2 linked regions of the Oryctolagus cuniculus genome follow. The protein of the gene in region 1 purifies or fractionates together with the protein of each later gene. This does not show direct contact. Links are inferred from orthologs where the notes say so. Each region holds a gene or a part of one and is shown in the gene's direction. Other genes may lie near its edges. The genes, in order: SLC16A11 and EMB.

The links.
Region 2: the proteins of SLC16A11 (region 1) and EMB purify together in Homo sapiens (co-immunoprecipitation; 3 studies listed by BioGRID and IntAct, counting the BioPlex papers as one, with this or other methods). This does not show direct contact. The link is inferred for Oryctolagus cuniculus from reciprocal best matches to the Homo sapiens genes SLC16A11 and EMB.

Annotation. Positions count from the first base shown.
Region 1 is NC_091448.1:51,740,293-51,744,618, reverse strand, and holds SLC16A11 (monocarboxylate transporter 11), read left to right. Parts: upstream 1-1,314; 5' UTR 1,315-1,636; exon of another isoform or gene 1,637-1,641; intron 1,642-1,847; 5' UTR 1,848-1,853; coding exon 1,854-2,055; intron 2,056-2,271; coding exon 2,272-2,415; intron 2,416-2,500; coding exon 2,501-3,268; intron 3,269-3,354; coding exon 3,355-3,587; 3' UTR 3,588-3,637; downstream 3,638-4,326. UniProt on the Homo sapiens protein: Proton-linked monocarboxylate transporter. It catalyzes the transport of pyruvate across the plasma membrane.
Region 2 is NC_091445.1:71,364,716-71,369,111, reverse strand, and holds the start of EMB (embigin), read left to right. Parts: upstream 1-1,386; 5' UTR 1,387-1,518; coding exon 1,519-1,624; intron 1,625-4,396. UniProt on the Homo sapiens protein: Plays a role in the outgrowth of motoneurons and in the formation of neuromuscular junctions.

The DNA of each region.
Region 1 (4,326 bases):
TGGACTGCATTTCACCTTCACCACATTCACCTTCACCACAGACAGAGGGATTCCTCTCACAGCAGAGCGGGGCGGCAGCCACCCCAGGAAGCGGCCCCCTGTCCAGCAGGTGTCTGAGGGCCCGCGGGCCCCACCTCCTGGAGCAGCTTTCAAAACAGGACTTCAGCCTGGGGAAACCGGTGGGGCCACTTTCCTAAGGTGTACGTGGCAGGACCTCAAACCCTTCCAGAAGACTTGCAAGCGGACAGCCAAAATCCAGAAGCGAGCAAACGGATCCACGCAGCAGGTGCGAAGCTCACAGCTGATGGGAGGGTGCAAGAGGGAGGGGAAGGGGGTGGAAGGCACAGGTAGCCCAGGTCAACTTTCTTATTGCAAAAGGCCTTAAACACATAGGACAGGCATTTGGCGGCCCCAACCCCGCAGAGGCCACGCCCCCTCCCCTCGGGGGCCACCCCTCCTCCCAGGGGCCACGCTGTTTTCCCAGGCTTGGAGGTCTGAAACAGCTGTTGGTCTTTTCCTCACAGGCGGGGCCTTTCTCAACAGTTAGGAAACACTGCCATCGCGTGGCCCTCTGTTGGTAACGCGCCCACCTGCAGGCGGCTGAATTTTGTTGTGTTTAATAATGAAAGCAAGCAACACATCAGATAGGAACGGCTGAAGTAAACCCCACGTGAATCTATTTTAAAAAAAATTCGTCTTGTCAAGTTTTTGAAGAAGTCAATACCCGAGTTTTAATTCTGATTTTTTTCCTTCGCTTTTTCCAATTCTAGCCTAAGCCTAAGGTCTCTTCCAGCCCCTGTTTGAGAGTCACACACTCTTGGCTTTGCAAAGGCTCGGCCTTTTGCAGGGGAGTGTGCACCAAACGCCCCCCAGGCGACTGCCCTCCACTGCCCAGGTCTCTTCTCCCCGTGTGGTCCCGCAGCCGGAGAGACCTCCGCCTAAACACTCCTGCCACTTTTGAGCTGAGCGATTTGGGACGCTCCCGTGCTCTGCCAAGTGGAAGTGCCATCTTCGTCCTGGGGCTACTGAGAGGATGAAACTATCATCTGTGTACAGAGTGCCTGGCACACCGCGGGTCCCTCTCCCCGTGCCCTGGGGACTTGACCCCGGCTCTGTGATTTGCCGTCGGGGATCTACCTGCTCCTAGGATTTACCTGCTCTTGGGCCCCGGAACAAACCCACTCATCCCCTCAGGCCTTGGCCATCGCTCCGATTTCCGTGCGTTGGCAGCAGGCCCAGGGCCGCCTCGGGCTTGGAGCGAGCACCTCTGCTCCGCGCGCAGCTGCCGGCAGGTGCGTGGGCGCAGGCCGGGCGCGGCGGCGGGAGGGGCGGGGCGGCTCTCGGTGCCCGCCGCTCCCTATCCTGGCGCTGCCGGCTGCGTGTGGATAATTCGATCCCCGTGGGGCTCGGCGGCAGGCCTCACCCGCAGCCCGGCGGATTGGCTGCCGGTCTCGGCTCGCCCCCGCCCTCCCGTACCCCTAGCGTCCCAGGTGGCTCGGGCCCCTGCGGTGATCTCTGTTTACCGAGCAAGCCCGTCCAGGCTGGGCTCCCGCTCGGCTCTCTCCCCTCCGGGGCCCCGCCCGCCCGGGAAGCGAGGAGAAAACCGAGCCCTCCCCTTCCCCCACCGCCCGGAGAGGTCGGGTAAGGGGGAGAGGGCGTGGGTAGGGGGGAGGATCCTGCCGTCCAGGCCCCCGGGGCCGCGCGCGCGCGGACCCAGAAGTTCTGCCACCTCAAGGTCGGGCTCTGGAGCCCCGCACCTGCTCGGGCATGCTCAAGACCAGCGGCTGGACCCCGGGGATGCCCGCGCCCTGGCAGCCTCCACTCACTGGCGTTTCTCCACCCCGCAGACGGCCATGACCGCCAAGCCGGCCGGACCCCCGGACGGGGGCTGGGGCTGGGTGGTGGCGGCCGCGGCCTTCTTGGTGAACGGGCTCTCCTACGGGCTCCTGCGTTCTTTGGGCCTCGCCCTCCCTGCCCTCGCCGAACACTTTGACCGAAGCGCCCAGGACACGGCGTGGGTCAGCGCCCTGGCCCTGGCCGTGCAGCAGGCAGCCAGTGAGGGGGGGCCCCGAGGGGGAGGGGGCGCGGGGGCGTAACGGCGGGAGACTCCCCGATGAGTAGGCGACCGGCACAACCGAGTTCTGGAAAAGTGTGGGGCTGGAGGCCCAGAGGAGGGGCTGTCAGGCCGGGGGTTGGGCACACTGGCCGGGACAAGCGCTGCAGTTTGGGGGCCCAGGGGGCGTGTCTTGCGGTGACCCCGCCCCTTTCCAGGCCCAGTGGGCAGCGCCCTGAGCACGCGCTGGGGGTCGCGCCCGGTGGTGATGGTTGGGGGCGTCCTGACTTCGCTGGGTTTCGTCTTCTCGGCTTTCGCGGGAAGTCTGCTGCACCTGTACCTCGGCCTGGGCCTCCTCGCCGGTGAGGGAGGGGAACGGGGTGACTGACGGAGGGCTGGGGGAGCAGGATGGGGCCGCCGCGCTCACCCCGCCCTGTCCACTCGCAGGCTCCGGCTGGGCCCTGGCGTTCGCGCCTGCCCTGGGCACCCTCTCGCGCTACTTCTCGCGCCGTCGAGTCTTGGCGGTGGGGCTGGCGCTCACGGGCAATGGGGTCTCCTCGCTGCTGCTGGCGCCCGCCTTGCAGCTCCTCCTGGACACTTTCGGCTGGAGGGGCGCCCTGCTCCTCCTGGGGGCCATCACCCTCCACCTCACTCCCTGCGGCGCCCTGCTGCGTCCCCTGGCCCTCCCTGGCGACTCCCCGAGCCCACCCCGCGGCCCCGTGGCTGCCCTCGGCCTGGGTCTCTTCACACGTCGGGCCTTCGCAGTCTTCGCTCTGGCCACGGCCCTGATTGGGGGAGGGTACTTCGTCCCCTACGTGCATTTGGCCCCGCACGCTTTGGATCGGGGCCTCGGGGGGTACGGGGCTGCGCTGGTGGTGGCGGTGGCTGCGGTGGGGGATGCGGGCGCCCGGCTGGTCTGCGGGTGGCTAGCGGACCAGGGCTGGGTGCCCCTCCCACGACTGCTGGCTGTGTTCGGGGGTCTGACCGGACTGGGGTTGCTGGCGGTGGGTCTGGTCCCCGCGACGGAGAGCGAGGAGGGCTGGGGGCGCCCCCTGCTGGCCGCAGCCGGTGCCTACGGGCTGAGCGCCGGAGCTTACGCCCCGCTGGTTTTCGGCGTGCTCCCGGGGCTGGTGGGCCTCGGCGGTGTGGTGCAGGCCACGGGGCTGGTGATGATGCTGATGAGCCTCGGGGGCCTCCTGGGCCCGCCCCTGTCAGGTAAGGGCCTGAGCCAGCGGAGTTGCTCCTAAGCACCCTGGGTTCCTGGGCTGCGACGCCCCTCAATTCCTTCATTCCTCCCTCAGGTTTTCTAAGGGACAAGACAGGGGACTTCACCGCCTCCTTCCTGGTGTGCAGCTCTCTCATCCTCTCCGGCAGCGTCATCTACACGGGGCTGCCCGGGGCGCTGCCCACCTGCCGCCGCCGGGCCTCCCCTCCAGCCACGCCTCCCCCTGAGAGGGGGGAGCTGCTCCCTGCGCTCCAGGTAGCCCTACTCTCCCCAGGAGGCCCGCAGGCCACTCCGGACACCACTTGCTGATCCGTTTCCTGTTTGAGCCCAGCCCCCAATAAAGAAATTGTATCCCATTTTCCTGATAGCTCCACCTGTTAGCCATTCTGGGGCCCTGAGGCCACTGGGCTTAAATAACCAAGATGACTGAGGACAGGATCCCAGTAGGCCCTGGGGGTGGGGAAGGGTGTTTGTCAGCCTGGTCAGTCCACTCATCTTTCTGTCCAAATCTTTGCCATAACAGGGACTCTGCCATCAGTTTCCACTGTCGCGGGCCGGGAGTGATGCTTGGAGGAGCCACCTGCTCCATGCCCCTTTCCCTTAGGGGATGACCTAGTGTCCCCTGGACATGTCACAGGGACAGCGGGGAAGAGGAGGGAGGAGCTGTGGCCCCGACAGCAGAGTTCGGGGTTCCGAGCTCCCGGAGCCCTGCCCAGCACTGCTGGGCCGTGACTCCATCGGGTCCCCTTGCTGTTTGTGAGGTGGTGGGGCTCATCTGGGTCTCCTATTCCGTCTCCTCTCAAAGGGCCGACCTTGTTTCCCACACACGCGTCTTCCGAGGAGAAACGGGACACAGCAGCAGAGGTCGTATGTAAAATGTGTCCAGTCTCCTGGCCGTGGAGTTTTACAGTGGATTCGCGGCTCAGTGCAGCGGGAACTCCTGGATCCTTCAGGGGAAGTCGAGGGAGCCAAGCGGAAGACCCCTAAACAAAATACAAAGGGTTGGCACACCCACCGTGGGAGCCCGGGGCCTGCTCGGAGGGGAGGC
Region 2 (4,396 bases), on another chromosome or scaffold:
GGCTCAGTTTGTTCTGTGAAGCACTTATTGTTAAAACTCCCCAAAGGCATAAGGACATGTTGGTAATTAGTTCTGAAATTATATGCAGGGTACCAAGACAAAAGCCTGATTGGATGAGCAAGCTCAGTGAAGGTGTTCAGAGGGTCACAGAGTGTAACTGTGGGTCCTTCATGGCCTCTCATGAGGATCTGTTCAGGAAAGTTAAGTGATCATAAGCATAATTTCCTGGCAAGTAGTGGCCTTTCACAGACTGGTAGTCCTCAGATCAATAGTTCTCTGGGTTAATTATCTTGCATGAGCTCCTTGCTGTAAACGCAGTCTATTTTGAGCACAGTGCCTGGCATTTGGTAGTACTTAATATTGCTGATTAAATAGTATCCTTCATATTCTTTAATGCCGATTTGAATAATCTATCCTCTCTTTCAAAGTTTTGCCCCAAGCACATTTTACTAATATTTACCAACTGAAAATGAACCACCTCTGTGGGGTAGGTTTAGCTCTCTTGTTCTGTAGCTTAATCTTCAAAATTCATAATATCTGTTAATGTGTTCTTACATCCCGATGAATCATCAAATCTTACTGCTCTTTGATGTTATAATGTGGAGTTCTCCTTTTTATCCCCAATGCAACAATGATTTTTAGTTTCTTTTCTTTTCTTCTACTTTTTTTCTTTTAACGTGGTCGGGAGCACTGAGCAATCATCATTGCCTTGCTGTGTACGGCACAGCATTACCTAACACCCGTTCTGTAGGCTAAGGCCAGCCTCTGGGTGCTGTTTACAAAGTATCTCCTTACTGTAGGTTTTGTTTCCTGAGCTCTAGGTGGTTCTCAGAAACTGTTAGGCCAAGCAAACAATAGGAAAATAAGGACAGATACACTGTGGGGCCTTGGGCTTCTGGAACTTTAATCTGGACAGAACCAGTTAAGCCTTCAGGGACTGGAGGGGAGGGTGTGTGTGATTGGCAGGCAGAGCGCAGAGCCAGACTGTAGGGCACCTGGAGCGCGCCCCGCACGAGCCAAACAATGAACCTCTTTCAAAAGGAAGCTTGATGATGTCCGGGGGGGGAAGAAAAGTGTCCTCTCCCCTCTCCTTCGGGCACTGGCCTCTGACGAACGCCAGGGAGAGTCTCCGAGGTGGGGGTTCAACCTCTCTCAGGTCAAGCTCAGCTGTCGCACCCCAAGCTCCCTCTCCGACCTGCGAGAGGCCCCAGAGGATGCGCCAGCACCGCGGCCCTACACACCCGGGCGCGCCCGCAGCCGGCTTGCGGCTGCATAATTGATGGAGGGCCGGGCGCAGTGCTGGGCCGGCCCCGGGCGCGGTGAGAGCATCTGGGGGGGGGGGTGGGGGGAGGGCAGGGCGGCTGGGCCCCTCCCACTCCGCCTTTTCTCGCGTGTCCTGCCCTCGGGACTGGCAGTGGGCCCTGGACTACCGGCGAGTGTGCGCCAGGGCTCCGGACACCGTCGGCGACTCACCGCGGTAGCAGCCTCGACGAGAACGGCTGCGGACCCGCCAGCGCCATGCGCGCCCTCACTGGCCTTCAGTGTCCCCGGGCGCCCCGGCTGCACTTCCTCTTGTGCCTCCTCCTTGCAGCGCGCCCGAGCTTGGCGGACAGCCAGCCTACAGGTGTGATGGGAACAGGGGCCGGCTGGGGAGCGTGCAGGGAGTGCAGGGAGGAGCGCGCGAGGCTTGGGTCCCCGTGGGCATCCCGGGCAGGGGCGATGGGGAGAGGCGCGGGGATGCAGGCGCGGGCGGGTGCTGGGCGGTGCCGGCGGCCTCCCATTGGCTGCACTCGGGCTACCTCTGCTGAGCGAGGGAACTGGGCGGCTCTGGCTCCCCGGGGCTCTGTGGGGCGACTCCAAAGGACCACGTCTGGCAGTTCGGGGGTGTTGGTGTTAGGCAGGGCTGTTTTTAGCCTAGGAAGAGGGCGACGGGTGTGTGGGTGGGTGCGGGGCTAGGGTGTCTGGATTTCTAAGGGTCACATTCTCCAAGGCCAGCTCCCTTCACTTAAATCGAGGGTAAGGCTCAAATGTCACTGCTTTTCCTCCTCTTCCAGGCAGGTGACTTGGCCTTGAGGCTGGGTTTTAGAGCTGGGTGGAAGAAACGTCATAACGAATCAGACAAAGCCCCCACACCTTACAGTAGGATCATGTGTCTGTCTAATTTTCACATTATGGTCATTGGGGAAAAAAAACATTTTATTTATTTTTATTTTTTGGTAGTGATGGTTTTGGGCTTTGTTATTTAAGACACTGAAGCAACAGAGAGATTTATGTGCAAAACCTTACCAAAGCCAACAGCAAATTTGCCACTTCAGCATCACCTGTTTATACTTTTTATGTCGAACTGTTCCAAAGCTTTAGCTTACTTTCTAATGCAAGTGTCTGTGTTAATAAATCTGTTAGCATTAGCAGTCAGTGAGGATAACACCACCGGCATCCTTCAAACTGGTAAAAATCAACCACCAGTTACCAAAATCAGGACATTATTGTAAACAAAGGTTTCCCCCTTTTACAGGAATATATTGTTGTGAGGTGATACCACAGAGATTTTTGGTAACATACCATAAAGATGGAAAGATAATCAAATGATAAACTTTTCACTCTTTTAACAGTGTCTTTTCAAAGGTAAACCGTTTGGGCTGTTTCACACCCCTTATCCCTTTTCAGTTACACCATTTGTAGAGAATCTCCAGGGTATTTTCCCTCTCTGAGTAGCTCTCATGATTTGTTTGCTTCACAATCTTGAAGTTCTGAGAAGCAGTGCATTCTGGGTTGATCCTGGAATCGTGATTCTCCTTGGCTGTGTCCGAATTACCAGAGAGATTTAACAACGCAAATGCGTGGGTGCTGTTGGCAGAAGCAGATTCACTTACCCTGGAATTCAGCCCAGATATTAGGAAGTTCAGGAACTGCTTCATATGATTCTAACATAAGCAGAGTGGAACCCACTCCCTTAAAAGATAGGACAAGAGATTGTACTATTAGGTAGATAGCGATTCTGTTGGCATCAGATTTAAGTTAATATCCAGAGCAGATAGACCTCTTTAGAGAAAATAAGTAGTATTATTAATAAGTATTAATAATTAGTATTAGTAATAAGTATTAATTAGTAATAAGTATTAATTAGTAATAAGTATTAGTATTAATAATAAGTATTATTAATAACTAATAATAGTAGGTGGAATAAATGAAGATATCGATAACTAGAGTGAATGAAAGGGGGAAATATGTGTAAGTCTTGTGCTTGTAGCTCCTCTTAGTTAAAATTATGAAACAATGTGCCGTTTAAAAGGCATGAGTTAGTATCTAATTTTGAGCTAGAATTACAAATTGTCAGGCAACCTCAGCTTGTTCTCTTGACTCTGCACTAATCTCCATGAGATTCAGTTTCCTGTTTGATGAAGAATCTTCTTGAGGCTTGCTGGACATTTTCTATGTAGATGCTTTGAACTACTTGGAGACACGTGTTGTGTTAACCTCAGGCTGTGGAGCAAATTACAATAATAAAAATGGTTATCAGATTTATTATGTAATTATGTAACATATTTACTATGTTTGTTATATAACAAATGTATGCAGGGACTGCACTATTTATTTCATAGCTCTTTGAGTTAGATTTCATTGTTCCTGGCTTTCAAATGAGGAAATTGGGGTTTAGGTTAAGTAATTGCCCAAGTACACATACTTGGTTAAGCAGCAGAGCAGGAAATTTAGCAATAGCTAATCTGATTCCAAAACCTGCTTTCCTAAACACAAAGCTTAAATACAATATACAATAGTGGAAAGTGACTGGTTATGCCTGTGAACGTTTGGAACTTTGACAGTGCAACGTATGAGTTGAAATGTCTGATTTGAGCTGGAGGACATACTGACATCTGAGGCCTGGAATGAAGTTAGGCACAGGGTCGTGGCTTCACTCTTTTAGGGCTTTGAAATTAAGTATGACATATAAAATATCTCTGTGAAGGAGAAATATTACGTGTCTGTTTGTATTTAAACACCATCATTATTATTATTCCAGAGAACCAATTGGGGGAGCAGATTATGTGTATGTTTTGAAAAATGTTTGCAGTGAAGTTACTTGAAATGATCTCATTTTAACTTGGTTATCTATCTCCAAATGGGGTCATCTTATGAAGTTCTGGGGCAGGGGTGGGGAACCTTTTTTCTGCCAAGGACCATTTGGGTATTTATCACATCATTCATGGACCACACAAAATTATCAACTTAAAAATTAGCCGGCTATAGATTTGTTGAATTTTGAATGCCACCTGCAGTTGTTACTTTCTTTCCTCCTTCCCTTCTCCCTCTCAACTGTCCCTGAAAGGGTCATCTCGCCGTTAGATGGCCAAGGGACAAGGGGCGTTCTCACTTGGGGGGTGGAGCTGAACGGGCC